4 linked regions of the Rhinolophus ferrumequinum genome follow. The protein of the gene in region 3 interacts with the protein of the main gene of each other region in a biochemical or structural test. Links are inferred from orthologs where the notes say so. Each region holds a gene or a part of one and is shown on either strand. Other genes may lie near its edges.

Region 1 (7,725 bases), on a different chromosome or scaffold from region 3:
ACAGTCAGTCAGACTGTTCGATTTCAACTTCACACTAATGGAAAGTGGCCAGTCCAGCTACACTGCTGCCTGTCTGATGTTCTATTTGTAACTTTAGGTTTCTTGTTGAATCAAGTTCTGGGTCAAAGGAGAAGGTAGGAAATTTAGTTGTGTCTTAGTATACTGATAGTTGTGTTACTGTGTACTTTTTGTAGAAGGTTCTTTTTCAAAAGTGGCATCCAGACTCTGGCATCCAGAATCAGAGATAGTAACTTTAAAGAGCACAATACATGTTACATCTCCCTTCCTATGGGATGAGTCATTTTGCACGCAGTGTGTGCACATGTCTGATGTGTCGAATGAAAAAGCAGGGATAGAGTTATCCTATCTCCAAAGAGAAACTAGTTACAAAATTGTTTGATACCAGAGACAGTGCATAGTCTTCCTAGTCTACTTGAAACATTTTATTCTTCACAGTTTAAATAATTAAATGACAAATAAGCTATTTATTAAAATAGATTACTAATTGGAGATATAAAATGGGTATTTCTTCTCTAAATCCAAGCCTTCTATTTTCTTTCTGCTATATTGCACTTAAGTTGTTACAGGAAGATTACTCTCTGGTTGTTTTGGCATGAGTTAGAAAACTGCTCTGTGCTTTCTATACCAGAGCCTCTAAAACCTTCATGTTTGGATACATAGGTGTTTGACATTGTTTCATCAGGCAGGTTATTTTTGCTAGGTTGGTGCAGGTTTTGCAATTATTTTTAACCTTTTAAACTGCAATTGCTTTTGTACCAACCTATTCCCGGGAAGCATAGAATGTAAAGAGAGACCTTTCACTGTTGCTGTAATAGCCATGAGAGGCAGTATCTATTTTGTGGGTGTCATTTTTTTTAAACAAAACCAGTCGAGTTTCTTAAAGATAAAGGAGTTTGGAATCTTAAAATAGTGAGTACGTCCACTATAAAAAAAAAAAAAAGCACTCTCCAGCACATAGCAGCCATAAAGATCTTTAAAAAAAAAAAAAAGTTTATGAAATCATTTTTAAACAATCTTTTTAAAACTCTTCAAGAACTTCCCATTGTTCTTAGGAAAAGCTCCTAAGTATCTAATGTGAACTACCAGCTAATTCGTTGATTCCAAAAATATTGATTGTCTATTACGTATTTTAGGCTCAGAAAATACAGCTGTGAAGGGGTGGGGCAAAGCCTTAGTTCCCACGGAACTTAACACTGGGGGCGGGTCAGTGGGATGACTGATAGACTATAAACACTACAATCGATAAACAACATAAACAAATAGACAAGATAAATTCCGATGTGATGAGTGCTGTGAAGAAAATAAATTGGGAGGATTTTCTACAGAATGAGCTATTCTTTCAGTTCCCCAGGCTCCATTTTCTCACCCCAGGGAATTTGTACAGGTTATTCCCTCTCCCAGGCCTCCTTTCTCATCTGCCTGCCCTCCCTAACTATCATTCTTCCTTCAGCTCAGGTCTCAGTTAAAAATGTCAATTTCTCTACGTTAAATGTTCCTTTTATATACCTCTCCCGTAGTACCCTACCCACATGTCGCCTTTTTAGTGTTCATTACATTCATAAACAATTGTTCAATGTCTGTCTTGCCACAAGGGCAGGGTCTTCTCGTCTGTGGTCTACTGATCTATTCTCAGTGACCAGCATATAGTAGACGATCAATACATTTTGATGAATAAACAAACAGAAGGAAGATTGGGAATTTCTTTTACTTTTTTCCTGTTAAGGGACATTTCATCCAGAAGGGGTAAAATCATTTGAAAGTTACGCATATGTAAAAAATGCATGGGAGAGAAATGCAATTAGGCTGAACGAAAACTGAATGATAATTATTCAGTGGTTACTTCCTTGAGTTCTAGGTGGCATTGAATGCCATCATGGGATAAATTGTTTTGAGAAGTCATTTCCTAGATATTGGAATTAAGCAGCTCCTTGATTATAAATGAGTATGAAAGAGAAAGAAACGGAGGGAGGGAAGAAGGAGGAGTATGCGCGAATGAAGCATTGAAGGAATAAATGGATGGAGAGATATTCTTTTTTTTTTCCATATTCAGACTTTTCTTTAAAAATGGAAATGACCTCTCCTCCCAATACCAAGTAATGCATGCACATTGTAATATATTCAAGACAACACAGAAAGAGGTAAAGAAAGTTAAAACGACTAACAATCCCTTCACATTTTATTTACATATATATTCATCTAGACTTTTTTCTATGCATATTTTCACATATCTTTTAAATATAAAAATAGAATCACACATGCCATTCTGTAAATTACTTTTTTCTACTAACAATATACCTGAACATTTCTAGATCTAGCTACTCATTTTTAATGGCGACGTAGGAATCCATTATGTAGATGTATTATAAAGTATTTACTATTGAATAGTTATTTTTCTGATTTTGCAGTAAATATAAAAGTAAATATTGAATAGTTATTTTTCTGATTTTTCAGTATTTCAATGATTAAACCTTTGCAAACTTGTCCACTTCTTTTCCTTAAGTTACATTTCTGTATGTGGTCTTGTTGGTTAAACAGTATGGATATATTGAAGCTTTTGATACACATTGCCAAATTGCCTTTAAAAATGTCATGTCAATTTGTACCAGTAGCATACAAGTGTGTCCAGCTCATAGGATCTTCATCAACACTTAATATTATCAATTTTTTAATCTTTGACATTCTGAGGGGCAAGAAAGAGAATTACTGTTTTTATTTTCATTTCTGAGTACTAGTGAGTTTGAACATATTATATGCTTACCAGCCAAATATTTTCTCCTTATTTGAATTGCCTATCCATGTCCTTTGCACATTTTTAAAATGAGGTATTAATCTTTTAAAAAGTCGATTTATAGTACCTCTTTATGGACTTGTGATATTGGCCATATAAGTTTATCATATTCTTGTCAATTTGTCATTTGTCTTTTATTATAAACTAGTATTACCCTTTAGCTCTCATATGTCATGCTGAAATTATTTTTTTCAGTTTGTCATTTGTCTTTTAATTTTACTAACCTTGTGTTTTGACATTCAGCAGCTTTACTTTTATTTATGATGTTGTATTTAACAGTATTTCCTTTCATGGATTTTTGTGTCATGTTTGCAAAGTTCTTCGATATCCCTAAGGCTATAGACATATTTACTTACACTTTCTTCTACTTCTTTTGTGACTTTATATTTTATGGCAAGACACATCTGCCTTAACAATATATCAAGGAGTGGCTAATGTTATTAGTATAAGCTCAATATCGGGCTTAATAGCATTGCAGGTCACTGAAGAATTTGTTTTACACATTCTAAATAAAAGTTCTAGTACATAATTATGTAATATAAGATAAAAACTGAGTAGAGACACAGCACCTAAATCATACACATATACAGTCAAAAATGATAAGATGATTCAAGTCTGCTGCGAAATTGAGCCGGGAAGTGTGTACGAGGGAATTGGGGTAACTGGAGAGAAATACTTATATTCCAGGCTGATTAAATGGCCATCATGCTGAGGGGAGTCATTCTCTCAAACAAATATTTGAGCTGCCTGGGGAGGTAACAGTGAACAAAACAGAGGTTTACTGCTCTTATGGGGTAAACAAATTATATCTTTTCAGATTAAGTGCTTGAGAGAAAATCAAGCAGGTAGGGTAGGAAAGCTGTTCTTTTAAATAGGGTGGTTAGGGAAGTTTTCTCTGGGGGGACGACAAATGAGAAGAGACTTGTTTGAGAGGAAAAATATGAAGGCAAAAGATTCCAGCCTATGTAAAGTTGTAAAGGGGGAAGAATCATAAGAATGCCCGTGTAGGTGGAGTGTTACTTGAAAACACAGAAAATAGAAAAATGGAAAAAGAAACATGGCAACACCCTAAAAACTTGGGTAAGGTCGTTTTTCTTCAAGTGGGAAACGGGAGTTGGATTCTGTGTGACTCATTCTTTAGTGTCCTTCAGGCATTACTATCTAGGAAAGGCCTTCCTTAACTGCCCTTTCACAAATTCCAACGTTATCAGATTTTCCCACCCTTTCACAATCACCGCCCCCTTTCAAGTATTTCAGAGTTACCTTGTCAGAAGAGGTCATCTCTGACCACTCTTTTTAAAATTGCAGTTCTCGTTTTCCCCTACCGTGCACTTCCCACCCCTTTCCCCTGGCTTGCCGGCTTTTTCTCCTCAGAATTTACCAGCAATTATATTCTCATTCTCCATGAGAGCCGGTATTTTGATGTTTTAATTTCCGCTGCATCCGCAACATCTTCAATTGTTTTTGATATACAGTTGGCGCTCAATAAATGTTCAACATGTTGAACAAAAGGTAGGATGTGTATGAACTGATCTGGACTCATCGAGTGAAGCGACCTCAGGTTGGACTAATATCGCATTTCTAGGTCTCCGAAAAAGGCTTCAAGCACTCAGAGGGTTGGGTCCCTCAGTTTTCAAAATGGGAAAGCGAAGGTTCCCACAATTCTCAGAACGCGAATTTCTCGCCACAATTCAAAATGGCGGAGGAAGGTGGGGCCTGTCACATGGTGGGCGTCACAGCAGCTTTCCTTTTCCCGACCTCGGCCGCTCGGCCGCGTCGGCCTGTGCCCCTCCTACTCCCGCCGAGCCTTTTCGAGGAATCGCCTGCGATTGGCTAATAGGCGGGAGTTGGGGGGTGCTGCGGGGCCGGAACGCAGCATCATCACTTCCTGTTGTGGGCAGTCGTTTCCGGTCGCTGCTTGGTAACAATGGGGGAGATAATGGCTGCCTGAGCAACGTCTCGCAGCAGGCGCTGGGCTAGAGGCGGGTCTCTAGCAGCGACTCAGCGGAGGCGGGCTTGAGAGCGCAACAGGGGAGGCGCGCAGGGGCCTCGGCGGCGGCGGCCGAACCGACCGAGTCGGATCCCGACACTAAAACCCAGTAAGTGAAGCCTTGGGAATCCTCTCTGAAAGGGATGGAGAGCGAGAGGAGCACAGCGGAGCCTCGGCTGCCGCGTTTCCTCAAAATGGCCTGAGTACTGCGTCGTGGCCGAGGCTCAGCTCCTCCTTCGGACCCCAGGCCCCGGTTGCTGTGGGGGGTTCCGTGGCGTAGTCGCCGCTGCCATTTTAATTGGGTGTATGGTCGACAGGCTCTGAAGAAGAGGAAGGTGCGGGGTAGGACTTCCTCTCCGTGGCCGCGCTAGCCGCAGCCGGGGCCCTCCGGAGCCTCTGGAACGGGGGGAGGCGACTTTCGAGTGTTGGCCTCAGGCGTGACGATCTTTCCTGGTTTCGGGGTTTTCTCCTCGGTTCTGTGGAAGCTTCCCTCGCCTCTCCCCGCCCCTTTTACATGGTGGGCTTGGTTTGGGAAAAGGGAAAATCGGGCTGCTGTAAGTCAGATGCTGGGAACTCTTGGGCCTTTAGATTTCCCAGGATTTGCAAAAGCCCATTTTGAGCACTTCAGGGCACTATCAATTAGGCGCCCCCTGAGGCCATGATGACATCTTCCCTGAGGATCTGAGGCAAATGTGGTTTACTCCCTCGCTCGAATAACCCCGGCGTATCCTTTGCCAGATATCATCGCAAGGACCCCCCGCTTCCCCCCCCAGAAGAGAAGAGAGGGAAAAGCCTTTGCGTGTTTGTTGTTTTTCCCTGGGAAAGGGTGGGAATTGGGCCAAATGATTTTCAAGTTAATTTCCGTTCAATCAGCCAACAGCCCAACCCCTCCCCCCTCAAAAAAAAAAAAAGCCTAAGGGTCTCAGCTTCTGCGGGCGGTACCTGCCACGTACGCCATAGCTTTAGTAACTAGTATTAACCGGTTGGGCTTCTGCTTCCTGAACACTCAGTCCCTTTTTCCCTTATGCTGATTAATTTCAAGATGGAGGAGACAGCCACGTTCCTTCCCTAGACAGTTTCACCATACTTATTCCACAGGTTAGTCCGGGAATCTGAGGCCTAGCAAGCGTGTTATTTAGGTCATTCTTTCGTTTTGGGGCAAGAGGAAGCATTTATATCAGGGTGTCATCCACCATTTGCAAGGCCCACAACAATTTTTTTTGCTGGAAATAAGGAGCCCGCATTTCCTGAATCAGAATTAACCGCAATGGCTTTGAGTGATTGAAGGGAGGAAGAAATAAACGTAGTACTACTACTAATCTTTCTTTCACTCTTCGTGTTTAAATACAAAATAACTACTCATATCACTCCATCAGATATATTATGTCCATCCTGGATGACTTGAGAGCAGGCAGGCACAATTACATCCCCCTCCCCCATCAGTTTTCTACATTGTAACAATAAAGTATCCAGGAAGACAAATTTAAACGCTTTAAAATGTGATTTTTAGGACCCTCTTTTTTACAGAAAAATGTTTCAAAGTCTTTAGGACCCTCTTTTTTTACAGAAAAATGTTTCAAAGTCTTTATCCTAAGATGTCCTGATGATCTTTCATACTTTGTAGTTACTGCCACTGCCTAGTACTATTTTACAGAGGTAACTGTAGTGTGCCGAATAAGTCCTTGAAAGTAACAAGTCGAATCTGAAAATAATTACAGGTTTGATAAGGTAAGGCCTATTTTAAGTAAGCTTCCACTAAAAGGTAGTTTGACTCTCAGCCTTTAAAGGAAATCTTATATTTCTGGTTCCCTCTGACCTTCTCAGTCTCCCCAAATATCAATACTAATGTTGAATTAGGTTGGGTAATGGGGTGTGTGTCTGTGTAACAAATATGTAGGATGTGTATTTTTTAGGATGTGTCTGTTTCAAAGAAAATGTCTGTCTTATAAAAGAGGAAGAATAATGGATTCTTTTTTTTCCCTAGAGCAGAGAGTGAAGAAAACTAAAATCCAGTTTATTGTATTACAATACTATGTCATAAAAGTCAGGTAATTTATTTTTTGTTGCGTCTCCTGATGATTTATGTGTAGAATGTGTGTTTTAAAATCTGTTTTGCAGGCCCTGTAATTGGATGGGCTTATTTGATATATGTTAGTTGATGTTGCGTATACTTTCACGATGAGAATGGATATTTTTCACTGGTAATTCATAGAGTAGTGTTTCTGAGTAGCTGGAACTCACTGGTGCTTTATCTGTGAATTTTCCTCTTTTAAAATAATGTCTGAAGTTTACCAGTACCTGTATAGAACAGAAGGAACAAAATAGAAATTTGCTGTATTAAATCATTGTTGGAATGGGATGGGTATAAATAGTGTTTAAATGTTTGTTGAATAAATAACATGTCAGTAGAATATCTTACAGGAATATAATCTTACATTATTTTGTGTGTCCTATTTTTTCCTTCAAGATCGAAAAATTATATAATTGATATATAATACTCTGATTGGTATTAACTCTTTTCATCATCATTGTTAAAGTAACCACATAATTTATTGCCCTAGCTGCGATACTTTTAAGAGCAAAAGGGACGTTATTCTTAATCATGCCTGGACAACAGGCACAAACAAGATTGTCCCAGGCAAACTGGGATGGGTAGTTAGCCCAAATTTAAAACCAACTAGTACTGAATATTTATGTGCTAGGTCCTGTACTTCACATGCATGGTTTTATAATCATCACAGCAAAGCCTCACGAGGATGTTAACTCTTTTACAGAAGTAACCAAGACTCCGAGAAGTGTTTATTAAGCAATTTGTCCTCAATTAAATAGCTAATAAGTGGTAGAGTCCCCATTTTAACCCAGGTCTGTCTGATGCCCGAAGTCACTAAACTTTTATGCCTCTAGACTTAATTGCTATCTAATTAGA
Region 2 (7,525 bases), on a different chromosome or scaffold from region 3:
GGAGACCGAAGAGACTTTAGGTGTGTCTCTACACCCAGACTCCCACAGGGTTGTCGGCCCCTCCTAAACTGCACCCCACGTGTGGCCCTAGCTTGCTCGAGTGTCCACATGGGCAGATGTGACCACAAGGCCCTCCTGTTCTCTGCCAGAGCTTCCAAAGTGATCTCAGCACAGTGAAGAGCACACCCTCCACCTGCTGCTTCCATGCCCACGGACAGGCTGAGCACGTGACGCCGTACGCTGCCGTCAGCTGCTGAAGCCAGGCTTCTGGGAACCAAGAGCCAGAGGTAAGGGTCGCTTGAAAGCGAGCGGGTGGCAACATGAGGTGCCCCTCCCCTCACCTCATGGTCCAGTGGGAAGGCAGAGGGACTGCGCTCTGTGCCTCTTACCTGTCTGGTCAGAGGATCAGCGGGCAGACACAGAGGCAGCCACCATCTCTGGAGCACTAACCCCCATGCCAGGACGCCAGATGCCAGGCAGGGCTGGTCCCCACCCCCGAGGTCCCATGTGCCTGCCTCCTGCCTGGGACGACACCAAAGTTCTGGCCTAGACAAGAACTCCAACAGTAGGACGAATCGGACGGTTCCAGTTCTACACACACTTCTACTTTATTATGGCGAAGGCGAAAATGCCACCTTCTCCACAACAGCAACCAGTAAAATTTATCCCAAAAATAACTCAGTACAAAACAGGTCTGTTTCAGAATTAAAAAAAAAAAAAAAAAAAAGGGAAAAAAAAACCTTTACATGAGTTTTAAATCCTATTTTAAAACGTAAGAGAAAACTTCATCATTGGCCACACAGCCCCAGCCCGCCAGCCCCTCCCGCCAGGGAGCATGGACGAGCCGCCTGGAGCCTGTCCTGTGCACAGGCTTGCTGGTCTGTTTAACTGGTGTCCATCTGAAACAGAGGAAAGAGGTTCTTGCTCGAAAAGAGGTCCCAGTCACCCCTCCCGGTCTTGGCTGGCCCCCATTCTGACCCGTCTAGGACTTACTCTCGCATTATAAGCGTCCAGCTGGGCGTCCAACTCCTCTGCGGAAAGCTGCTGCTTTGAACTCCTGCCCGTGCCTCTGCCTCTGCCCCGGCTGCCTCCACGGGCGCCTCGCCGAGCGCCACCGCCGCCAAATCCTCCAGAACCACGGTTCCTAGTCATCCCGCCTCTGTTCACACTAGCGAGGGAAAGGAGACTCCTTCACACACGTGGCCAGGCCCACAGGCTGAGCGATCACACCACAGGCCAACCCCGGCCCCGAGGCCCCAGAACTCACCTCTGTATCGGTCTCCGCTGTGTGTCAATCTGTGACGTGACGAGCTGAATGTTCATGGGGCGGCCTGTGGCAAAGAATACAAGAGGGCACGTTCCTGTTAGAGACCTCTGACGCCCACCCAGGGCACCACGCCCCGGTCTCCATGCAGGCACTGGGAAGGGGCCGTGCGTGTCTCGATCGCTCGCGACAAGAGACGGCGCCGACGACAACCCACCACCACCTCCTCGCTCCTCAGTCCAGCTTAGGAGGGTGTCTGGTCAGGTGTCCAGGCTGCTCATGGGCGGAACGGTGTGGGCGCCCTGCCAGGAGGAGAGCTGGTACCTTTGTTTACGACTACAGCCCCGCACTCAGAGGTGTACTCTGGCGGCTGAGAAGGCTTCACAGGAGTGAGTCTTCCGAAGGAGCTGAACGAGGGGAGGGATGTAGCTTGCTGGTGGGGGTTCACAAGAGGTTGGTCCACATGTATGGGGCAGCGTGAGAAGTGGCAGAGTGGGAGAGAGACAAAGGGGCGAGTGCAAAGTGTCCTCAGCCAGAGGGGAGAGCCATATTCCTGCATGGACGGGTGCCAGCCCCAACTCCACAAACCAGGCGTGGCCCCTCAGTCTTCTTGGGTCCAATCCCAAACGCACCATCCAGAGGGACGCCGTTGTACTGTTTCATAGCTTTCAGGGCGTCTGCCTTCCGTTCAAAGTGCACGTCGGCTGTTCCCAGACTGCGTCCGGAGCGGTCGTAGTGCACGGCCGCTTTCTTCAGAGTGCCAAACTCAGCAAAGAGTTCCTGGGAGTTAGAAACAGCAACTGTCAGCGGGCTCTTTTCCTTCTGCTGGCCCAGGGACAGTCCCTGGAAGTGTGAGCTACTTTGAGGGGATTTCCCTGGGGGCAGGGCAGTGGTAGTGGGAAATGGGGGCAAGGATGGGGCAGGTGGGACAGCCCCCTCCAGGAGCAGCTGGGCCTGAGGGCTCCTGCCAACTTGGGGACCTGACATCTGTACCACGATGCAGGTGAAGGGCCGCAAAGCCCATCAGTGCAGGGCACGACATGAGGTCACTATCTCCTTCAGCAAAGGAAAGTGTACAACACACCCACGGACTGTGCCAACAAACAGCAAAGGCCAAGACCACAGCTCAAGGGGCGCCGTCTGACATGTGGACCAGCTCCAAGGGCCCTGACTCGGGAGCCCTGACCCAGCCCCTCCCCCGGGGCAGATTCTGGCTCACCTTTCCCTCTCCTCCTACTCAAGCCTGCCGCAAAGTCTGAAGTCAAGCGCTGCCATGGAAACTGCCCTGACCTCAGGCAGGCTGGGAGTTGGAGAGGGAACCCAGAGTGTGGGGCTACTCCGGCCGCAGGCACACAGCGGGAAGTGGAGTTCACCAAAAGCGGTTTCCAGTGGATGCCAGAAACCACCTTAAAAAAAGTGTTGAGACACTGTGAGTGCTCATCAGCCTTGCTCTGTCCTCCCACAGCTGGGCTCTGGGAAATTGAACCCAGGAAGGCCCAGAACCCTGACCCGGCCATCTCCAGGACTGACCCCCAAGATGTTGTCATTTAACCAGAAAATAGGTTTAAATGCCTTTGAGGTTCAATCAAAAAAAGAAAAAGAAAAAGGGGGGGGCGGGAAGAGGCTTCAACCAAAGATGGGTCGGCAAGTCATGCTACTAACAAGACCTGAGGGATGGTGGTGAGTGGACCGGCACGTGTAAGACACAGGGCTCACGGCCGACAGCCAGAAAGACGCCCTGGCCTGCTTCTGTGCTGTCACCTCTACAGAGGTAGGTCTTTCTCCTCTCAACGAATCATGAAAACAAGCACAAAGTAAAGCAAGCAAGCAGCCCAGCTCCATCAGTAACACAGGAACCACGCGAGTCTGACCAGTCTTTTCCTGTTAGAAACGGGAAGCTCTGGCAGAGAACCTCACTCACGGAACAGGTTTTAGTAAGGGAGGGCAGCGGCTCCTTACACTAGGCTGGGGGCCTGTTTTCCAGCACAAATGGACCTACTCCTTGCAGGTTCAGCTCTAGCATGACCTCGGCTCTCCACCCTAGCAGCCCCTGACAGGGGACAGTGGCTAGCCCTCGGGTGTCTGGGAGGGCTCAATGTCCTAAGGTGGGAAGGGATTCAGGGCCACATCCCAAACGCCATCAATTCCGCGTGGGTCAACTACCGACCGACAGGATCCTGTCTCTTACCTGTATGTCAGCGTCCGACACTCCAAAATCCAGATTGGACACCAGCAGTTTCCCACCGGTCTCCACGCCGGCACCACCCCCAAAGCCGCTGTCGAAAAGGTCATGTTGCCACTTGTCAGGAAGTTGTTTCGGCTGAAGGGGGAAAACACACAACAGAAAGAAACCCGTGAGTTGCATTCCAGGGCTGCCCCTCGCCCTCACTGCCCCTGGAAGACCCTCTCCCAGCGGGGCCCGGAGGAAAGTGCGGAAAGGGGCCTGAAGCCCTCCGCTTCCCGCCCGCGCCGAGCCGCAGTCGACCCTGCCGGGGCCCCACGTCCCGCGACTTTTCCAACTAACTTCTCGCCGCCGGTGTGGCCGCGGAAACGTCCCCTCAGTGCCTGCCGCCACGAGGCTCGGCGGCCAGACAAAGGCCGGGAGGGTGTCCGCCTCCCGGGCCCGGCCGGCGCGCGACCTCCCGCCCGGCCCAGCGCCCGCGCCCGCGCCCACCCGCCCGGCCCGGCCCGTCGCCCTCTCGGCCGCGCGCCGCCCCGCCGCGCCGCTCCCCTGCCGCGGCCCGCCGGCGGCCTCCGCACTCACCCTGCTGTAGGGCGCCGGTCGGTTCCTGCCACCGCCGCCCGCCGCGCCGCGGGCGAGGGCCGGCCGGTTCCGCATGGGACCGCCGCCCCGACTCACTCGCGCGGCGGCCTGTGCTCCGCCGCCGCGGCCTCCCTGCGAGCCAGCCCGGCCGCGGCCCCGACCCCCGCCGCGGCCGCCTCGCTGGCTCCGGTTCAGCTTAATGATGTCGTCCAGAGACATGTCCATTTTGTCGGCCATGGCGGGCGCGGAATCGGCCTCGGCTCGAGCCCGCGCGTCAGCACGCCGGCGCGTCACTTCCGGCGACGCGCGGGGCCTTCCGGTGCCGCGTTCTCGGAGCGGCCGCCGATTGGTTGCAGGCCGGCGGAGGCGGTGGGGGCCGGGGCGGCGCGTGCGCACTGGGACGCGGGGGGGGTCAGCGGGCTCCACTGCCAGGTCCCGGGCCGCGGCCGCGGTAGTTTTTGTAGCTTCGCGCGCGGGCTCCGGCGCTGCCAACTGAAGGCGGGCGGTGCTGCGCGCGATTAAGTCCGCTTGGGCGCGGGGCGGGGCGGAACGGGGCTCGTCGCCCCTCCCCTCGGGCGACTCCGGCTGGGTGGTGGTTTCCCGCGTGAACTCACAGCAAGCGAGGTTCGAGTCTCTGCCCGTCACCCCCAAGTTAGTCATGTCCTTCAAGAAGTGCTGTATGGCACGTTGTGGCAGTTTAGTAGCGAAAGCCAGCGCGCCCTTTGGCCGGTCTTTGCAGATGCCCTGAGTGCGTGGCGAGTATCCGGGGCTCCGGTCCTCCCACGGGCGACCCCTTTAGCCGCCTTTCCCCCTCTCGGTGGCTACAAGGGTTTCTCAGAGCCGACCCTCTGCCTCGGGCAGCATCCCTTGTTTGGTGTCTAAATGCTGTCGCTCTGCAGACTAAGGGCAGCAGGTGATGTCTTCCCCTCGCCCGCAGGCTCCTCCGTCATGAAGGTGAAGATTAAGTGCTGGAACGGCGTGGCCACTTGGCTCTGGGTGGCCAACGACGAGAATTGCGGCATCTGCCGGATGGCCTTTAATGGCTGCTGCCCGGACTGTGAGTGTCCCCTGTGCTCGCTGTGTCTTGAGCTCTGTTTACTCGCCTGGCGGTGCTGTCTCCCCCAGAAATACCCGCACAAAGTCCCTGGGTTGTGGTCTCCCTTTTCTCAAGAAAAGTTGGCAGAGAAAAGGTAGGCGGTTTGGGCCCATATTTGTATAAAGACACCATCAAAAGTTTTGTAAGGAGAAACAGTACAGCCTTTTATCACGATCAAACTGGGCCGGGAAACTCAGGGGACAAAGAGATGCATTAAAACCTTTCATTTGAAAATTCTCAAACAAGAAAAGGAATATTAGAAGGATACGCCCTCCATTGAGCACAGGGAGTAACAGTGAATAACGTTTCCATGTTCGCTTCATGTGTTGCCTCCCCCCACTCACTCAGTCGCATTTAAATGTAACGCTACTGTTGTCACATCAGACAACCTAAGAATTCCTCTGTGTCACCTGTGCCCATCCCTAGCCCACATTCAGATTTCTCCGGTTGTCCCCAAATGTCTTCTTCCCCAAGTGGTCTGAACCAGGACTCCCCGTTTCACTACTCTGCTCCTTAGCTACTCAGAACAGCCCTTCCCCCGCCCCTCTTTCCCCTTTAAAGACACCTGACTCCTTGAGGAAACCCACGTGTTACCTTGCAGAGTGCCTACCATCAAGTTTTGTTGGATTTCTTCTTTGTGATGTCTTTTGCCCTGTTCCTTTGTCGTCAGGATGTTCTGTGAAGTAGGAATGTTTGATTATATATTTAGGTCAAAAGCAGATTTTTGCACCAATGAATTGAGTTTTTTAGTCAGACCCAAGTGAACCCAAAGCAGAAGCAAGGGTCAAGGCTTTGTCTAGGGTACAAGGGCGGTCCCAAGAGGGAAGGGGGGCTTGGGGACTCCTGAGGAGCTCCTCACTGCCCTGTGAATGACCAGGTCTTCGTGGGGCTACATGAGTGCCCAGAACAGTAACCGTGCTTTGCTTCTTACAGTGAAATGTAAACCATGGACTTTTAGTGCAAATACTTTTTTCTTCTAGGCTTAATCTTTATATCTGCTTTGGGTGAAAAGAGATCTCATTACCCAGGAATCAGTCCATCCTGATTTAATCAAATGGGTGGGACTTAATCTTAGGAACTCATTGATTGGCTCTACTTGATCAGGTTTCACTTAATGAGAACAGCGATGCGCAAGGCTTGGTTTGATTTAATCTATTTTTAAATCGCCCTTCCTGAGGGTACCACAGAGACAGTGGGAGCCGGAAGGAGCAAATCCTTGCAACTTTCTATGCAGCAGATTGTTCCTTTCTGAAAAGGCCTCAAAAGCATTTTTGTGGCCGTGCCCTTGGTCAGTGTGAGCTAGTGAGCCTGTATAAAGATGGCACCACTGGGCCTGCACTGCCTGAGGAGCCCGCCAGTATTATTCCAGCTGGGCCTGTGGCTGGGCATCTCCACATGTGGGCCTGCCAGCTGCGAGAGTAGGGGTTCAGAGTCTGATCCTTGGACCCTGTGGAGTGAGCCAGTTGTCAAGTTCAAGGCGCCTGATGAGCATGAGGTGCTTTCTGTACAGCTGAGGTGGCACTGGGTTTCTGTGGCTGAAGTGGAGCTCCTGTGCGGAACGACAGCCTCTGAGCCTATGATGAACCTGCCCCGTGGCCCTGAGGGCTCTGGGAGTAAGTCTTGTTGAGGGGTGTTTTAACTAAAAAGGACTTCCATCAAGACACTAGCAGGCCTTTGGGGGAGCCACCGACCTGGTGTTCGTGTGCTCAACACGTGCCCCCGGCAGGTTCCTCTGTCCACGTGCTCTGCAGCAGTGGCTGGGTGGCCGGGTGCCCCACCAGGCGGCTAGCAGGCTCCTGCTCATGGTTTTCCATCCTCTATTTGTAAGGGACTCTACTTTTTATATGGTGATTCCAAGGGGCGTTCTTTCTTCTGAGGTTGGAAAGGCCCGGGGGGCCCGGGGTGGGGGGGGGTGGGAACTAATCTAAATCAGGTGTCACACAGTGTGGCCTCCTGCACAGGCCTGGGAAGGAGAGTGAGTGACATGTTTTGTATTTGCTGAGCACATAATTTTCTGGTGGTTTTGTCATAAAAGCTCAGGAAGCAAGGGACATTTTTGTTTTAGAAAGGATTTTTAAAAGGTTGAGAAACATTGTCCCGAACAAGTGAATGAGAAGGTGGAGCGGTGGCCACTTTCCCTCATGACTTGGTGGATGGCTGTGCCCTTTGGGTGGGGAACTGTGCGTGCTCAGCAGACGCCAAGCGTACTTAGGAGCCCATGTTTGTCCCTGACCCAGTACCCACCCCGGCCGCCTGTCTGAGATGGGGTGCCAAGGAGGCTGCAGAGTGCTGAGAGGCTGGAGGAGAGTGCAGGCCGTGTTCCTAGCCCCTTGTTCTGTGCAAGCGGTTGTTAAGTGGGGTTTTGAGAGCATTGTTTTATGGCTCGGCCGTAGTGTTCTTT
Region 3 (7,804 bases):
AAGGCCCCATAGCTATGTTCCACTTGTAGCTGCATATTCCTTGGACAGAGTGGAAGTATGAAATCCTTTCCTAAAAAGACTCCCATCTAAAGAATCTCTGTGCCTGACAGGATCCTAATCAGTAACTTAAGACAAGGAAACATATTTTGTGCTATTAAAACCAGCTTTCCACAACACACTGTAGATAATTCTGAAAGCCACAATAGTGGGAGTTCTGATCAATTCTCTACATTTGGGATATAGTGTAATTACAATCAATACCGTGGTGCCTACTGGCCTGGAGCTAAGTTTAGAAGTTCAACTGTGGATCTAAATGTTGTTTTCCACCTTTGCTGCTAGAGCTGGGAAAAGGTAGGGGAGAGGAGCTAACAAGATGGAAAGGGCAGAACTCAGTGAAGGGGTTTGAAAAAAGCAAAATGATCTCAAATTTATGACTGGGTGTTTCAAAAAGAGAGTTAAATGAGAGGCTTGAGTGGAATAGGCAGTGGTGAGAGACAGAGGAAAAAAGTCTCCAAAAGCTGGCAAAACATAAGGTCAGGAAAGGCCATAGAAAAAAATATTGCTCTGCATTTAGAAGAACAGGAAATTTGAATCTCAAGAGCAGTAACAGTAAATAGCAGGAGCTATACAAAAAGGAAGACGTTCACATTTCCAATGTTGGCGATTATTATCAAGGGTCAGCAAAACATTATTATGCCTTACTGTATTTTTTTATGTGAATCAACACATCAAAACACATTGTTCTGTTAGGGACAACTGAAGAGTTACCAGATTAACTTTCCTCCATCAATCTAAAACCAATTTTACAACCTTTACATATATACATTTTTCTAAATTATTCTGAAAGTGTGTGACTTTTTAGATTTAAGCCTTACGTCTAAGCAGTACAGTATACTTAAATGTACTCAAGTTTCTTTTATAATCTTCAAAAATATTGAGAATTCCAAAGAGTATTTGTTTGAGGGTTAAACAACATTGTGTTAGAAATTAAAACTGACAAATTATTGAAACACTTATTAATAACTATAATAAATCCATTACATGCTCACATAAATAATATATTTTAAGTAAAAAATAACTATATTTTCCTAACAAAAACTCTTTAATGCCTGGCTTAATAGAACATAGCTGAATTTTCATATATGCTTTTGCAGTCAATGTTGCCTATGTTGCTTTGACTTAAGTATATGAAGAAAATCCAGCCTCATCCAGATACATAGTTGGAAATTTTAATAACTTTATCAGACAATTGTGGATATTCTTCTTTAATACTACGATAAATCTAAACAAATGGTAGTTTCTTAAAGGTTAGTTGCAATGTGGAATCTGAAACATTATCAATGAACTTTTTGTACTGTTACATTAAAATCCACTGGTCTCTCTCAAACCTTAAATGGATGTTTTACCCTTACATGAATTCTGTAATATCATGCATTGGTCATTTGGAAAATATTGGTTCACTGATTTATGCAGATCTTCCAAATGTTAAAACATTTGTACAGTTTCAAGTAATCTCACTTGTTAATATCACCACCAATTTAATCAGAAATGTCTTAAAGTGTATTGGGAAGCTGTCAAGTCAAAGTGGCAGATGTGTTTTCAAAAACTATAATTTTCAGTTGAAAGTTTGAATGTTATCATTGGCAACAAATTCTTCCAGTTTGAAGTGACAGGCTCACATTGTTCATTTTTGATAAAATATCTGCCAAATACCCAACTCCTAATGAACATAATTTGTCTCAATCATTACTTCAAGTAAAAATGGTGTTCTATGAAAAATTGGCTAGTTCAGCTCGTAACTCAACCAATTCCACAAGTGCTTTGCCACATATCTTGGTGTACAGCAGACGAGCTTTATGTATCCTTCACGTGTATCACACAGAATATTAACAAGATATGTACTCAAAAGTTTAAGTTTAATAAAAATTAATAATCTCTACTGCTTCACCAAAAACATTCTAAAGTGGCATTTTTTAATCGTATGTGGTATTAATAAAATTATTACTACTACAGTAATTGTTTTTGCCCACTATTGCTTTTACATCATCAGTGCAAATGTCAATGCAGTAAAAAGGCAAGTAATGTCTTAGTTTTATTATGATAATAGTTTGGGCATTGCAGACTGCCTCCTGAAAACATCTCAGGGGCCCCCAGGTATCTGCAGACTATACTTTAAAATTAATTCTCCCCATCCCTGCTAGAATGTAAATCCCACAATTCCAGGTTTTCTTTGTCTCTTGTTCACTGATATCCCTCCAGGGCCTAGGTCATGCCTGGCACATAGTAGACATTCAATAAATAGTTGCTTAATTAATTAATTACTTAATGAAATAATTAATCAGAACTAGATCTTAACAGTGAAGAGCATATAATCTGCATTACTGGAAACTCATTTTTAAAAATTTAGTTTTGAATAGATAAAATATACAACAGGACACATGGTGAAAAGTCTCCCACTTTGCCTTCCACAAGGCAACTTAAGCTGCTTTCTCAGAGAAAACCACTGTTGTCAGTTTCTTATGTATTTCTCCAGTGATATTTTATGGATTCACAAGTATTATATACACAAGCATATTCCTTTCTTCCTTCGCACATATGGTGGTATTCTATATACAACATGGATTGCATCATGCTTTTGAAAAAGTAAACTTTTTCTTTTGGAATAATTTTAGATTTAGAGACGTTTCAGAGATTCTTGTATACTCTTTACTTACTTCTACTAATGTCAACATCTTAAATAACCCTAATACTTAGTCAAAACAAAGAAATTAACATTGTACAATACTATTAACTAAGTTACATAACTTATTCAGATTTCACTAGTTATGTCCTTTCAGTTCTGGAGTCCAGTTCAGGATACCACATTACATTTAGCATACTGCTTTTTTCCCCCCCTTAAAATGTATTTTTAGGATTGCCTCCTATCAGTTAATAGGTAGTTGCCTTATTCTCTGGAAAAACTCTCTAGAATGACTTCCTTGAAGTAGAATTTCAAGGCCAATGATTATGTGCATTTAAAAATTATCAAACCCCTTTCCCTCAAAGAAATTACCAAACCCTTCTAACTAGTACTCTTGTGATTTGAATGTTCCAAGTTTCTTTGAAGTTCTAAGACTGGGGACTGAAAGTAATACATGTAAAATACTCAAAAAAATTTGCACCCTTCACAATTATTTTTAATGTACTGGAAAAAATACACATAGCATTGCACGATTTATATAATATAAATTATACAATTGTATATACAAATATATAATTCATTGTACCATGACCCACGTATATAATTGGTTACTCTTAGGACCACTAGGGGGCTCTGCAGAAAGGGTTTTTATAATTTATTTTAGTCCGTTTAGGGAAAGGTTTCCCCATGATGCTTTAAAATTCTGAACTTTAAAAACTTGAAAGAGATCACCTAATCCAGCTTTCTTATTTTCCAGGTGAGAAAACCAAGTTGGCCAAGAGAGCTGGCATGGAGGAGAGCTGGAATCAAAAATATCCTCTTGGTTCCTGTGGCAGGGGTTCCAGAAAATCTTTTTTGCCATGTGCCTCCACTGAGTGATTCACTCCCTGTGGCTATTCCCTTTCTTTGCTGCCACAATCTTAGTAATATTTGCTAAGACAGTGTATTTGTGATATTTGTCTAATAGGGTACTTTACTAATTGGTTAAGTGAAAGAAGTGCGTGAAATATAAACTTCTAAGTAACCTTTATTATTCTAAAATGTTTTATTCAAACTATCGAATCACCAAAACCATATTACTTACCGTAAACTCTCGCAACCACTTCACATTGCCTTTCAAACTTACTTTCCATTTAAAACATTTTACTCTTTACTCATTTATTCATTCAATATTTATTAAGTGCCTATTAGTGCCAGATATTGTTGTAGGCCCTAGACTTACAGAAGTAAAGCTGCCCTTCTTCCCCGGAAAACGTCTATTTCTCCATTTTTTACTTTAATATACACGTAAATTATTTTCACATGCTTTAGTTCAGTGGTTCTCATAGTGTGGTCCCTGAACCAGGAGTAGGAGCAGCAGCATCTGGGAACTTGTTAGAAACGCAAATTGTTAGGCCTACCCCACACTCCAACGATGGGGCCCAACAATCCGATTTTTTAAACAATGGATTCCGATGTATACTCAAATTTAAAAACTATGGCTTTAGTTCCACAGCTAGGTATTATCAAAATAGATCAAAGATCAACATCTGGCTTCTAAAACCATCTCAAACATCTCCATGGAGCATGGGACCCAACAAAGACCATATTTAATTCAATGATTTGTAATACCTGGCATGATCGTAATAGTGGCTCTGTAATGGCTTCAGAACAAAAACGGACAGCGGTGGATTTTCTGGGCCTATAAGCAGCAGAAAACCGGCCGGTCTGAGTTCTGGGATAGTGTTTTCATACACAGAGCCAAGCACATTAAGCCCGTGGGTCTGCTTGAGTTCAGGGCAGTGCTCTAAGCCGACTGGGGCCGTACGAACCCATCAGGTTGGACTCCAGCCTTTGGCTGGGGGCTGGAAGCCCGGGGCATACCATACAGGTTTGAAGACAGGCGGAGGAAGAGGAGACGACCGGGGAGGCCGGAGTATGGCAGGCTAGCGCGGAAGCCGCACCCTCCAGGCCCCAAACGCCGGCAGGGCGGAGCCACGCGGCCGCAGCTCCGGCAGAGACGCGCGGCGCGGCGCGACGCGGAGCTCGCGGCTCCCGGCTCGCGGCTGAGGCGTGTGGGGCTACAACCGTAGCGGCTGCGCCGCCCGGTCGGGTCAGCGTCGTGCGCATGCGCGGGGCCGGCGCCATTTTGGTGGCCGGGCACGGAGGTGATCCCATACTGAAGAGAGCGAGGCGGCCGGGGTGGCAGTGGCAGTGTTCGTGTGCTCGGGTGTGAATCGCCGAAGGAGGAGGCAGTGGAGGAAGAGGTGGCGGCGGTGGCGGTGGTCGTAGCGGTGGCGGAGGAGGCGGGTACGAATCAGCTGCGGGCGGAGACATGGCCAACATCGCGGTGCAGCGAATCAAGCGGGAGTTCAAGGAGGTGCTGAAGAGCGAGGAGGTCAGAAATGAACTCCGGGACATCCCCCATCTCAGCCCAGGGCGGGAGGGCCCTGCCAGCGGCGGCTCCCAATATCCCCGGTAACCCCCGGGTGGCCCTCCTTGCGGCCGCCCTTCTGCCTGTGGGGAAGCAGCAGTCTCCCCCCTCCTTCCGCCGCCTTCCCCTCCCCTCCCAGGGCCCTGGGATGGACGGTCTCGCTGGCGGGTCGTGTGGAGAGGAACATGGTTTGGGGGGGGGGACAGATGGAGAAGGGGGCACTTGGTGGTGTGAGCTCTAGAGAGACCCCGGGGCAGTGGCAACAGCTGGAAGTGTGGCTGTAGGGTGGTGGGGAGCGAGCAGGCCGAGCCTGAGAAAACCCGGGAAGTGGGTTGGGGGAAGGGGAAAGGTGGTAACTGGATCCGGAGAGCCGCGCTGCTCAAAGGCCCACACTTTTAAGGGTATTCTTGGTTATAGCCTGTCTGGCCTCCACTGTCCTTTCCTTAAAGGAAGTCCCTAGTTATCGATGAAAGGAGAAGGATGTTTAGAGTTACTCCCTCTTGGTTGGGTGTTGGGAGAGAAGAGGAGACATAATGGGATACTATCGTATTTGAGTGGGGGATAAGGGAATTTTCACCTCAGATAGGAAATTAATTCCAATCTAGACCATTATCTCATTTTCATTTACCTCCGATTCCTAGGCCTCTTTTGTGTTGACACCTAAAGCTTTTGACTGGGTAAAGGCAAGTTGTTTTTTGTATGAAAGGCATTTAAATATTTTTAGCTAGGAAAAAATAATGGGAGTGTATGAGAAGCTTATTTCAAAATATTACAAGTTACAGAAGTTACAGATCAGAAAGCCTCTCCTAAGACAATGCCTTTGTGAGTGTGTTGTGCCATGAAACTTCATTATGATGTGCCTCATAGTTAATTCTTACTTTTAAAAAACAGCCGTATTAAACACATGGGATTTTGCCACATTAATACATTGTTATAGTTCCTTATCAAGTGAGTAGGTATATCATAATATATCTGAAATGATTTTTAAAAAATTTTTGTCTCAATCTGCTCTTGAGTTCTGCAGAATTTAGATGCTCTAGTGTTAGCCACATTTATTTATATAAGATATTTTAAATGTTCTAGGAATTTGACTCAAAACCATGCAAGTGTCAGTAAAATTTTTCATACCCAAATCAACAAGAATACCAGGTTGTTTTTCCTCTTTAGATTTAACAAACAAAAATTAATAAGCAATACTGAAATGATTATTTTCAAGATGTCACATGCCATTATTAAACGTATCATTGCTATTTGTATTTTTCTCTTACGTTGGTACTTTGATAATCTCAATGATTTACTCTTTAAGTGTGTGATGAGTAATTGACATAAATCTGGTAGCACTTGAGCTTTTTTTTTTTTTTTTGCTACGGAGTCTATACTGATTATGTATTTTTCCAGTTAGAGAAAGTAATTCTTTAAAATTATTAAAAAATGACAAATACTAGATTTATTGAGTGTAGTATATAAGTAATGATCGGTTTTGCAGAGCAAAACCTCTGTGTTTGTTCATATGCCAAAATTCTGAATGGAAGGATGACTTTGTATTTTGTATTGCAGAAATAGTGTCATAAATGTACTGATACACAGTGAAACAATGATTTTATTTTTTATTTAATAAGAAGACATATTCCAGGATAGTTGACATATATGTTCCTAATGAAAGATTGCAGCTAATATTGTTACCAACAGCCTAAAACATTCCTTTTATAATAAGGTTGTACAATCCCGAAACTTAATATAAAACTTCTAATGCTTTATTTTCTAATACTTAAAAGTGGTAAGTTGCTGCTCTTGTGATTTATATGGTCTCTGCTTGTATGCAGTGACTTTTCACTGTGATATTCTTAATACTTAAATTGAACCTTAAAAGAAATCTTGTATTGCTATAGTAATGCATATATTGTTAAAATAATACTGCTGTTTATATGTAAGGGATAGTGAGGCCTTGCTTCAAGTGTCTTAGTGTTTCAGAGGAAGAAAACAGGAAATGCAAACACAAACTTTTTTTTAAAGAATCGTACCTTTATAAATCTGGAAGGAATCTTCTTCTGGAAAGTATGTTTCAAAGTACATTTAAGAAAGGGTCAGATAATTTAATTTTGCAATATAACCAATAAATAGCTTTATTGGCTCCAATATTTTATTTCACCTGTGTTTTAGTAGGGCCAGTTCTGTAAGTGAATTATTTTCAACTCATTGAGGGATTTATAGTACAGTCCATGTGTTTCCTTTTTAAGTATATAAATGCACTATCTTGAGTGGTTGATCTAGTAAGCAAGTTTTTCGTGTCACCTGTGTAAATTTCCAGTTTACCAAAGTTTATTTCTTATGCTTGTGTTTACTAAGAATACTGGTTGATTTAAGGATGGGGGGCGGCTTTTAAGTGCCTTTGTAACGATTGCTAATGTTTGCTGAATTCTGGCCATAAAAAGTTATAATTGGCCATTCTTGAAGTGTGTTGTTAATTAAAACATAGCCTCTAAGATAAAGCAAATGTGAAAGGCCAGGTGTAGAATAGTGTGAAGGCCACCATTTTTATCAGAAGGGGAAAATATACAGATTCATATATATATATATATATATAGTGTGATATATATAGATGTAGTTTTGTGTGTGTGAGATGTATATATATATCTATATATATATATTTGAAAAGGTTAATCACAGGTTGGTAATTGGATGTCTGGGACAACATGCACCAAAAGATCCCC
Region 4 (8,011 bases), on a different chromosome or scaffold from region 3:
ATGCTCCAGATGAGATCTGATTAGTGAAGTTTGCCAAGGGAACAGTATTACCATCAGACCCCTTATAATTGGTCCTGATTTCTTCTTTCAACCACAATAATATTATGTGTGCTGCAAACTTAGATCACTACATACATCTGTTTTCTATTATGTTCAGAGCTAAAATATGGCATTGACATTTCAATACTTGGTGATATCCTATGTATAGTCTCTGCCAGATGTTTTTAAAATTACTTCGCGAAGGACCGAAAAGCTAATGGGGGCAGGTAGATGTTACTGACCCTTAGTTAACTCTCAGGTAGAGCTTTCCACTTGTAAAACTGTGAATTATTTCGTCAGCTTTCAGTTTAATACCTCAGCCACATTTAGGTGAATTTTAGTACATACACAATTTTTTTCAACTGGTCTTAGCTCCCTAGGCGTCTGTAAACTCTAGTTTTCTTGGCTTTTTTTTTTTTTTAAAGGGGCTTTGTTATATTCCACAAATCTTTATTGAGCGCCTCCTGTGTGCCAGCTCCTACCATGGCCTGTGGATGCATTGTTCAGCAGCATGACTCTTCACAGAGCCTAGACACTAAACCCATCTCCTTGCTCCATGACTAGGCTGAGGGCTGGCCAGGGCCAGAAGCACTAGTGGTCTGCTCTGTGTTGTACCATCAAACGTAATTTCATTCCACTCTCCATCATAAAGCAGCTGAGACTTACTAACAGTAGACCTGGGTCCCATCTCTGGCTCTGCCACATACAGCATTTGTGACTCCAGAAAAGCCACCTGAGGACATGCGTTCTCTGCAGGTTCCTTCTCCCTCATGTAGGAGAGAGAGCCCTCACTGCATAGGCTGTTTCCAGGATTTACATGTCATGGTGTAAAAGAGAACGCTCACCACCATGTCTCACACATGGTTGGGACTCAGGAAATGATACTTGAGTCTGCATGACGATTCCTGCCATTTTGGGGAGGTTTTAGTAAAGACAGAAAGAAGCAAAAAGACATTGAAAGCCTAGTAGCTCTGACATTGACACCGTGGTTGCTGGACGTGGGGCCATCTTTTCTTCCTTTGTCTCTTGAATGGTTCAAAACATGGGCTCTGGAGACAAGCAGGTCAGATCTGGTTGGGGTTCTGGTGGCCCTGCATACTCCTGTGGACTCGTAGGCAGCATACTTCACCCTCATGGTCTCAGCTTCTCATTTGTAAAATTGGGGTGACAGTTATACATCATAGGGTTGCTGTCATGATTAAATGACATCATGTGTTTCTGATATTTAATAAGAAGATAGTGTCTAAAAAATAAGATAAGCATACAGTAGTAAATAGCTGCTTTTACTGTTTTCATTATTTTTATCTTTGCTATTATTAGTTCTATTATTGTTTATTAGGCCTAAGAGATTTCCTGAGGTATTGACCTCGTGAAGATGTAGCCTTGGTTGTACAGGCACCAGCATGTTTTTATAGAGAAGATTGAGGAAACTCTTTAGAATTATCCTTTCCTATTTTACAAAAGCAGCTAAAAGCCTTTTCTTCTCATGTGCCTAAACATTAGACATAGAGCAATATAGGAATCGATACTAGAAAACTTGATGTAGTAGGTATAGGATTTCCAGAAGGGGTCAGCTGTTCAGATTGTGCAGTTCACTTGGGTGCATTGTAAGGCACTCTATTCTTTGTCTCTTATTTCATCCTTTCTGCCCATTTTTGAAATACTGTTTATGTCCCTATAGGTAAACCCGTCGAATCACAGACTCCTGTTTGAAGTATTTGATGAAAACAGATTGGTAAGTGGTTCCCAGTTTTTCATTTTTGCTTCATTTTTTTAAAAACTTATTTTTTTAGAACAGTATCTTTTCAAACTCTGTTTATGTTGTACTTCTGACAGTATATATGCCCCTCAAAAGACTTTATTTTTGTTCCGTTACTTGTTCACGATTCCAACAAATATTTTTGCATGTCTAGGACAGAAATTTTATTTGTGTGTGTGTGTGTGTGTGTATATATATATATATATATATATGCACGTTTTTATCGTAGTGGAAATATTGGTGAAAGTCACATTGCTGATATATTAAACCATATACTGATGCTCTTCTGTTGGGAACGTAGAGAGGCAGGCAAATCTGTGAAGAGACCATCACTCATGTAAACGAACCTTTCAGGGATTTTAACTATAAGACAGACTACAATACTGTCACCTATTCAATAGTGAATCTATAGTGATTCTCTTCGGGAAAATAAAAATCTAATTAACAGTAAATAGAAAAAAGTGAGTCTATATTTAGCAGGTAAAATTAAGCTGTATTTTAAACGTGGTACTTTTTCAAGGGAAATTAGTAAAAAGTTCCTTTAAAGAACGAACCAAAGTTACACCTGAAGCATAAAGCTGATACAAACTAGCATTTTATATAGAGATCGATAGATAGGTAAGTAAGATATAGATATATATCATTATATAACTGGTAAAAGTAAGATTATGTTTTAGAAATGGAATTTCAGAAGCCTATCCGGCTTTCAACATTTTGCCAGTTAACTAGAATGTGTACATCAAGTACCCGTGAGTCACGTGTTCCAACTATGAAAATGAATGTCACTATGTTATGTGTAAGCTTTTGAGTTTTACTCTTCAGAAGTCGTGCCATAGCTCTAGTCAGTTGTCACTCAAATTTACTTTCCCTGAAACTTACGTATATTTTTTTGGTTGAAGTGAATGTTCTTATGAATGCGTCTTGCTGCAGGAATTCACCTGAAACCCCCCAGTTTTTGAATAGCTTAAGATGAATAGAATATTTGATGGGAAGGCGCCTCATAATACAACTCAGTTATCCCCATTCTGTCCAGACCTCTTCCGTAATTTAAACCTGTCCGTGAGTTATAACGCCCTGCTGGAACCTACTGTTCTAGTCTCAGGCCAGTGGTAGTGAATAGCAAGGCTTTCTATCCTGATTGTAGAATTTGGCAATGTATTTGATTTCCTACGCTTGGTATTAGTCTCCAGATTAGAAAGCCAACAGATTCTGGCTTACCACCCTGATATCTTTTCTATTAAAAATGTAGTTGGGTTCTTGGTGGCTTTGTACTGAACTCAACATTTTACACCTTGGATAATAATTAGTCATCCCACATAACTAAATCATTCTCGCGGTGTGTGTGAACTTATTTTCTCGTTAAACTGAATGAATGAGAGATTCTGCTGAGGGTGCTGTTCTCTGCCCCTTGTCTCCATCCAGGGAAGACTGTGAATTAGGTGGTGGTCAGTAGAATGACAGTTAAGTCGCTGGTGACCTAGATGCCCCTGCAGACTAATCCTCATTCTCTCATTTGCTGAGTACGATAACACTTCTTCAAGGTGAAGGAAGGGTCAAATTTGAGGGAAAATGGCCTCTTGTCAGATGTGTCTTAATAATTTCATTTTCTTCCATTAAGAGAAATTCACTGTCAAACAATTTAAGGTTCCCATTTCCAATATCTAATACAGTGACTGTTGTTGGGATGACCTCGCCGTGGACCTTCAACTGTTACTTGCAGACCACAAAGGGCTTTGAATGCAGAGCTTGGCGAGATCCTGTGCGAATACAAACTTAGTCTGAAAAACTGTTTCATGATATTAATACCTAGCTTTGCCCCAGCCCATCTCCAGTGTTGTTACTATGCGGTGAATGCTGCTGCTGGTGTTTTTTTCCTTTGGCTATTAATCCAGCTAAGACAATACGGGACTGTAGTGGCACTTGGCAGTTTTAGCATTAAACAAACTAGCATCCATTTCTCTCATAGAGATCGTTTTTGGCATTTAAAACACATGCCTTTAGCAAACAGGTTTGGTTGTATGTAAACGTAGGGTTAATCCTCCACGCCCTGCACTGCAGAGCTGTTGACAAAGTCATGCTTTGCGGATGTTAAAATAAACTTTTTGTCACTCTTTGCAGCTTGCTATGTTCCCCTCCTAGTTTTTACTCGGTCCTAAATAAGCCTCTTTGTGAAATAACTGATGTTGCTGGATATGGAAAATAGTAAGTTTAAAACACACAGAATCTGTCCAAGTTAACTACAAATCTGATGACAGGTTTTTGAATGTGGACTTTTATTTCTTAGCTCCTTCTTGGCCCTTTGCAAAAAGAGCAACATTCCATGTGTGTATCCCAACTGTGTTCATATTGCTGACTTCTTACTGGAAAACAGTCAGCCCCGGACAGCCTTTTTTTTTTCTGTATGGTATTGAACTTAACGACAAAAACCACATGTACACCCTTCTTCAATTTTCCTTTCCTTATTTTGGGGTGTGTGTGGGGGGAGGCGTAGTTGTTTTTTCTCCTATCTGGCATATGTTAGAAAATGTTTTCTCCAGCTGCGTCCCTTTTCTCTGGTCCTTCCATGTCTGACAATCATACTGTATGTGTGAGATCAAAACACCGCCCTCCCGTGAAAAGTCTTGTAGTAGCGGGAGCCAGACCACTAACTGGCATTTTTGTAAGTTGTGCCCCCTCCACTTAGCTATTTTGTTACTTATAGATCATGGTCTAATTATCTGGCATTAAAGGGACAGTAATTCTGTGGGGTGTGTAGCCGTATTTATAGTACGTTTTATTAGTTTGCATTCCATGGGTAGTGTGGTGCTATCATAAATAACAGGAACACAACCTCCGAGGATTGGGAACAGGTTTTCCTAGAGCCAAGGCATTTTTACTTGTCGGCATTTGGTTCTGCGGGGGCGGTGGGGAAATACCGCGTGTGCTTGTGTGTTCAGTGCCAGGTCTCTGCATTGGGGAGAGAGAGTTCTCGGTGCCCGGCTGTGTTCGGAAAGAACTGGCTTGTGAATGTGATGCGGTTCAGATTGATAGCAGCATGGCTCCAAGTGTGTTTGCTGCTTAGTCAGCTGTGAGAGCTCCCTGCTGGGGCCACTCCTGTCTGATGGAAAAGCAGCAGCTGGGAAGGTGCTGTTTCAGGCTCTTGCTGTTTAAAAAAAAAAAAAAAAAAAAAAAGGCGAGAGGGGGAAAACTCCACTACAAGTCCACAAGCTGGCATTGGAGGGGGAGACGGCAGTCATGTGGTTCTGGCCATCCTACCCTCTGTCACAGTGTGGATGAGAGCTTTTTGCTCTTACCCAATCATGCCTGGAATGCCGCTCGCCACTTGGGTTATTTCTGCTATCTGTCGCTCTCGGTGCCGCAGTGCTAACGGTTTGGCAGATGGGACTCTTTTTCTTGGAGTTTGTGTCTTCAGTTTTTGACTTCTGGCAGCGCCGGGCGTGTTGCTGCTGCTCGCCCTCTCCCTCCCTGCCCTGCCGGGCACCATGGCCCATCGGCTTCGGTTTCATTTTGGCTCTGGTCGCAGCAACACAGCCCCCGAATCAGAGATCCTCGACCAGGAGAGAGAAGACGACTTTTTCATGGCATTCCACACGCTGCCACGGAGGAGCGGCCCGCACCCCTTGGCCCACAGTGGAGCGGAGGCCAGCGGCAGCCTGCACGAGGCTGTGGGCGCGCTCGAGCGCAGCACGTCCATGTTCATCCCGCAGCTCCTGAGTCCCGTGGACGCGCGGCCCACCCGGAGCTCGTCGGTGCAGATTTCGCTGCAGCGCAAAGCGGCGGACGGCGCCCCGGACACGTGTGGGCTGTCCGAGGGTCTGGACGGCGACGCGGGCTCGGTATCTCGGGGCAGCTGCCGGGAGCCCCCAGAGCCCCAGGCCCCTGAGAACTCCCTTCCCAGGGACGCCAGGGGTGCCGGCCCCCAGGTCAATGGCACGTGTGGCCGTCAAGCGCGGGGCCCTGTCCCTGCCGATGGCCTCAAAGAGACCGAACTTGCAACCGCCCAGGGTTCCGAGGGTGGCGGGCTCCGGATCCAGCACCGAGCCTCCAGCGCCGATGTGCGCCAGGTGAAGCTGACACCGTTCGGGGCCGATGGCCAGGGCAGCCCATCGGCGCCGGAACCCAGGCGCTGGTCCCTGCAACACGTTCCAGATGCTTCTGGAAGTTCTGGGAAGCGGTGCTTTGTCTTCCAATTGCAGCAGCCATCACCAGGCGTGCCAGGACTAGGTGGTGACTTTAATTTTGGGTTCACGGGCACGAAGGGGGATAGGTTGGTGAGGTACCCCCGCATCCGACTGGAAAGGAGCACCTCGTACCCCACGCAGCCCCGAGCGGAGCGCAGCAGCCCCACGGAAGAGCGGGGCCACCCAGAGACACCACCTCGGGGCCACAGGGTGGCTCCCGAAATCCACAGGACAAATTCCATGGAAAGGACGCCACAGGGTCAGGGCTGCACGTTTAAGATCAGGCAAGATCAAAATGCGGGACAGCAGCATTTCAGAATTCTTGTGACTCGGGGACCAGAGGAAGCTCACCAGAATCCTGAGGAGAGTACCACCACCAGGCCTGGTTCCATGGTGGCTGGAGCCCCGGTAAGTTAGCGTGCGTGTAGATGTGGCCGCCCGTCGGAAGGGACTGATTCAAGCCCAGAAAGCTTATTCTGTAGTGTAATTAAAATAAACTTCATCCTCCTCCCTCTGGGAGTTTCCCTGCTTTGGGCCAGTGTAACTTAACGGTGGCCAAGTTGTGCTCTAGTGTTTGGTCGAGTTCCATGAAACTGGTTAGCATTGCAGAAAAGATCTTTCCTTTAGGTACTACTACTCAAAGCCAGACAACTCTGTCTGTTTTGAAAATCCAACCCGTCCCCTCCCCCACCCCTTTCCCCCTTCTGAATAAGAAGATTTTAAAAATTTATTGCTTTGAATTAATCTGCCAGTGCCCCAAGACGTTGATATTGGAAATATATTTAAAAGTGATTTGCAAATATAGTCCATGACAACACTTTCGTTGGGAAAAAAAATCAATTCTAAATACAGGTGAAAGAGTATCACCAAAAACTTCAATCTACTTTCTTCATAATTAAATGTAGGACAAGTGTGACCAATTCTTCCTAATGGCCTTTTTGCTATAGAGGGTCAGCCCTTGTTACATCGTTTATTGTCTTTTGGATTTTTTTGTCCCTTAAAACTGAACGAGTGTAGTCACACTTGTGGGACAGTAAGAAATGCATTTTCTGAAGCAAATTGGCTAAGAGACACTGACCAGGGACTTGGTAATGGTCAGATGGCATGGCTGTGCCATTTCACACCGCCCACTTGAGTGTCTAAGCCGGGATGCTGTATATAGAATAGTAAGTGCCCTGTCTCCAGCTGTGGACACAGATGCCCAAGAACAAATTTTAGCCTTTATTGTTCCTGTGTTCTTGCTCTCTCCCTTTCCGTGAAATGGAGTACAGAAAGACAGCTGCTAACCCCACCGGGCAAATCATGACTTGGCAGCTTTCATAGTTTGTAGTGGGATGAAAAGTTTTAGCAGTTAGCTTTCTTTTGCTAGTAATCACTAGCCATTAAGAGCTTTTTCTTTTTTTTTTTTTTGAGAACAAGCTCCTTATCTTTTTGAATTGGATTCCCACCCCCACCCCCACCCCCGAATTTCATGTGATTACTGGTTTGCATATATGACTATGAAATGTCTTGGGGACTTTTTGTGTGGGTTTCGTTTATGAATTGTGACTTTTCAAAGTAGACGGCTGGGTGTTACTATAGAATTGTATCATCTTTTATTGCTTTATGTTTGGCCATTCAAGTACACTTGATCACTGCTCCATCATTTGTCTTCACCGCTTTGGAAGGGGTAGATGCTAAAGGCAAATGTTACAGTTTTCTTGGTGTTATATAACTATTCCTTCTTACCACTTCCCTAAGCCCCTTTCTTAGGAAATGGCTTAGTGCTGTGTCTCAGTCTGAACCAACACCATTTTTATACAGTGGTTCAAACTTCAATAAAATTTTGATATTATAAGAGCTTTTAACCTTGACCCCAAGAAAGCACCATCGTGACAGTTATGGGCTTTGTTGGGCAGCACACGTCCATGCTGACCTTGGACCACCTACCACAGGAAAACAGACAAGCAAAATGCATTTCCTAACGTTTTGATGACTATTCGATTGTGTTACCAAAAACTTATATCATTTGTGCAGTTAGAGATGAAGGACA

What was found.
Region 1: the proteins of UBE2K (region 3) and RLIM form a complex in vitro, tested with the Homo sapiens proteins (2 studies listed by BioGRID). The link is inferred for Rhinolophus ferrumequinum from reciprocal best matches to the Homo sapiens genes UBE2K and RLIM.
Region 2: the proteins of UBE2K (region 3) and ANAPC11 form a complex in vitro, tested with the Homo sapiens proteins (3 studies listed by BioGRID). The link is inferred for Rhinolophus ferrumequinum from reciprocal best matches to the Homo sapiens genes UBE2K and ANAPC11.
Region 4: the proteins of UBE2K (region 3) and NEDD4L form a complex in vitro, tested with the Homo sapiens proteins (2 studies listed by BioGRID). The link is inferred for Rhinolophus ferrumequinum from reciprocal best matches to the Homo sapiens genes UBE2K and NEDD4L.

The regions. Positions count from the first base shown.
Region 1 is NC_046284.1:371,548-379,272, forward strand, and holds the start of RLIM (E3 ubiquitin-protein ligase RLIM), read left to right. Parts: upstream 1-4,722; 5' UTR 4,723-4,908; intron 4,909-6,788; exon of another isoform or gene 6,789-6,847; intron 6,848-7,725. UniProt on the Homo sapiens protein: E3 ubiquitin-protein ligase.
Region 2 is NC_046304.1:54,669,755-54,677,279, forward strand, and holds the start of ANAPC11 (anaphase-promoting complex subunit 11), read left to right. Parts: upstream 1-4,510; 5' UTR 4,511-4,652; exon of another isoform or gene 4,653-4,776; intron 4,777-4,965; 5' UTR 4,966-4,976; coding exon 4,977-5,085; intron 5,086-7,525. Other genes in the region: ALYREF (THO complex subunit 4), read right to left, coding at 885-899, 994-1,168, 1,268-1,331, 1,897-2,044, 3,453-3,584, 4,029-4,265. UniProt on the Homo sapiens protein: Together with the cullin protein ANAPC2, constitutes the catalytic component of the anaphase promoting complex/cyclosome (APC/C), a cell cycle-regulated E3 ubiquitin ligase that controls progression through mitosis and the G1 phase of the cell cycle.
Region 3 is NC_046288.1:14,523,903-14,531,706, reverse strand, and holds the start of UBE2K (ubiquitin-conjugating enzyme E2 K), read left to right. Parts: upstream 1-4,790; 5' UTR 4,791-4,994; coding exon 4,995-5,057; intron 5,058-7,804. UniProt on the Homo sapiens protein: Accepts ubiquitin from the E1 complex and catalyzes its covalent attachment to other proteins. In vitro, in the presence or in the absence of BRCA1-BARD1 E3 ubiquitin-protein ligase complex, catalyzes the synthesis of 'Lys-48'-linked polyubiquitin chains.
Region 4 is NC_046302.1:47,055,674-47,063,684, forward strand, and holds the start of NEDD4L (E3 ubiquitin-protein ligase NEDD4-like), read left to right. Parts: upstream 1-5,007; 5' UTR 5,008-5,280; coding exon 5,281-6,387; intron 6,388-8,011. UniProt on the Homo sapiens protein: E3 ubiquitin-protein ligase that mediates the polyubiquitination of lysine and cysteine residues on target proteins and is thereby implicated in the regulation of various signaling pathways including autophagy, innate immunity or DNA repair.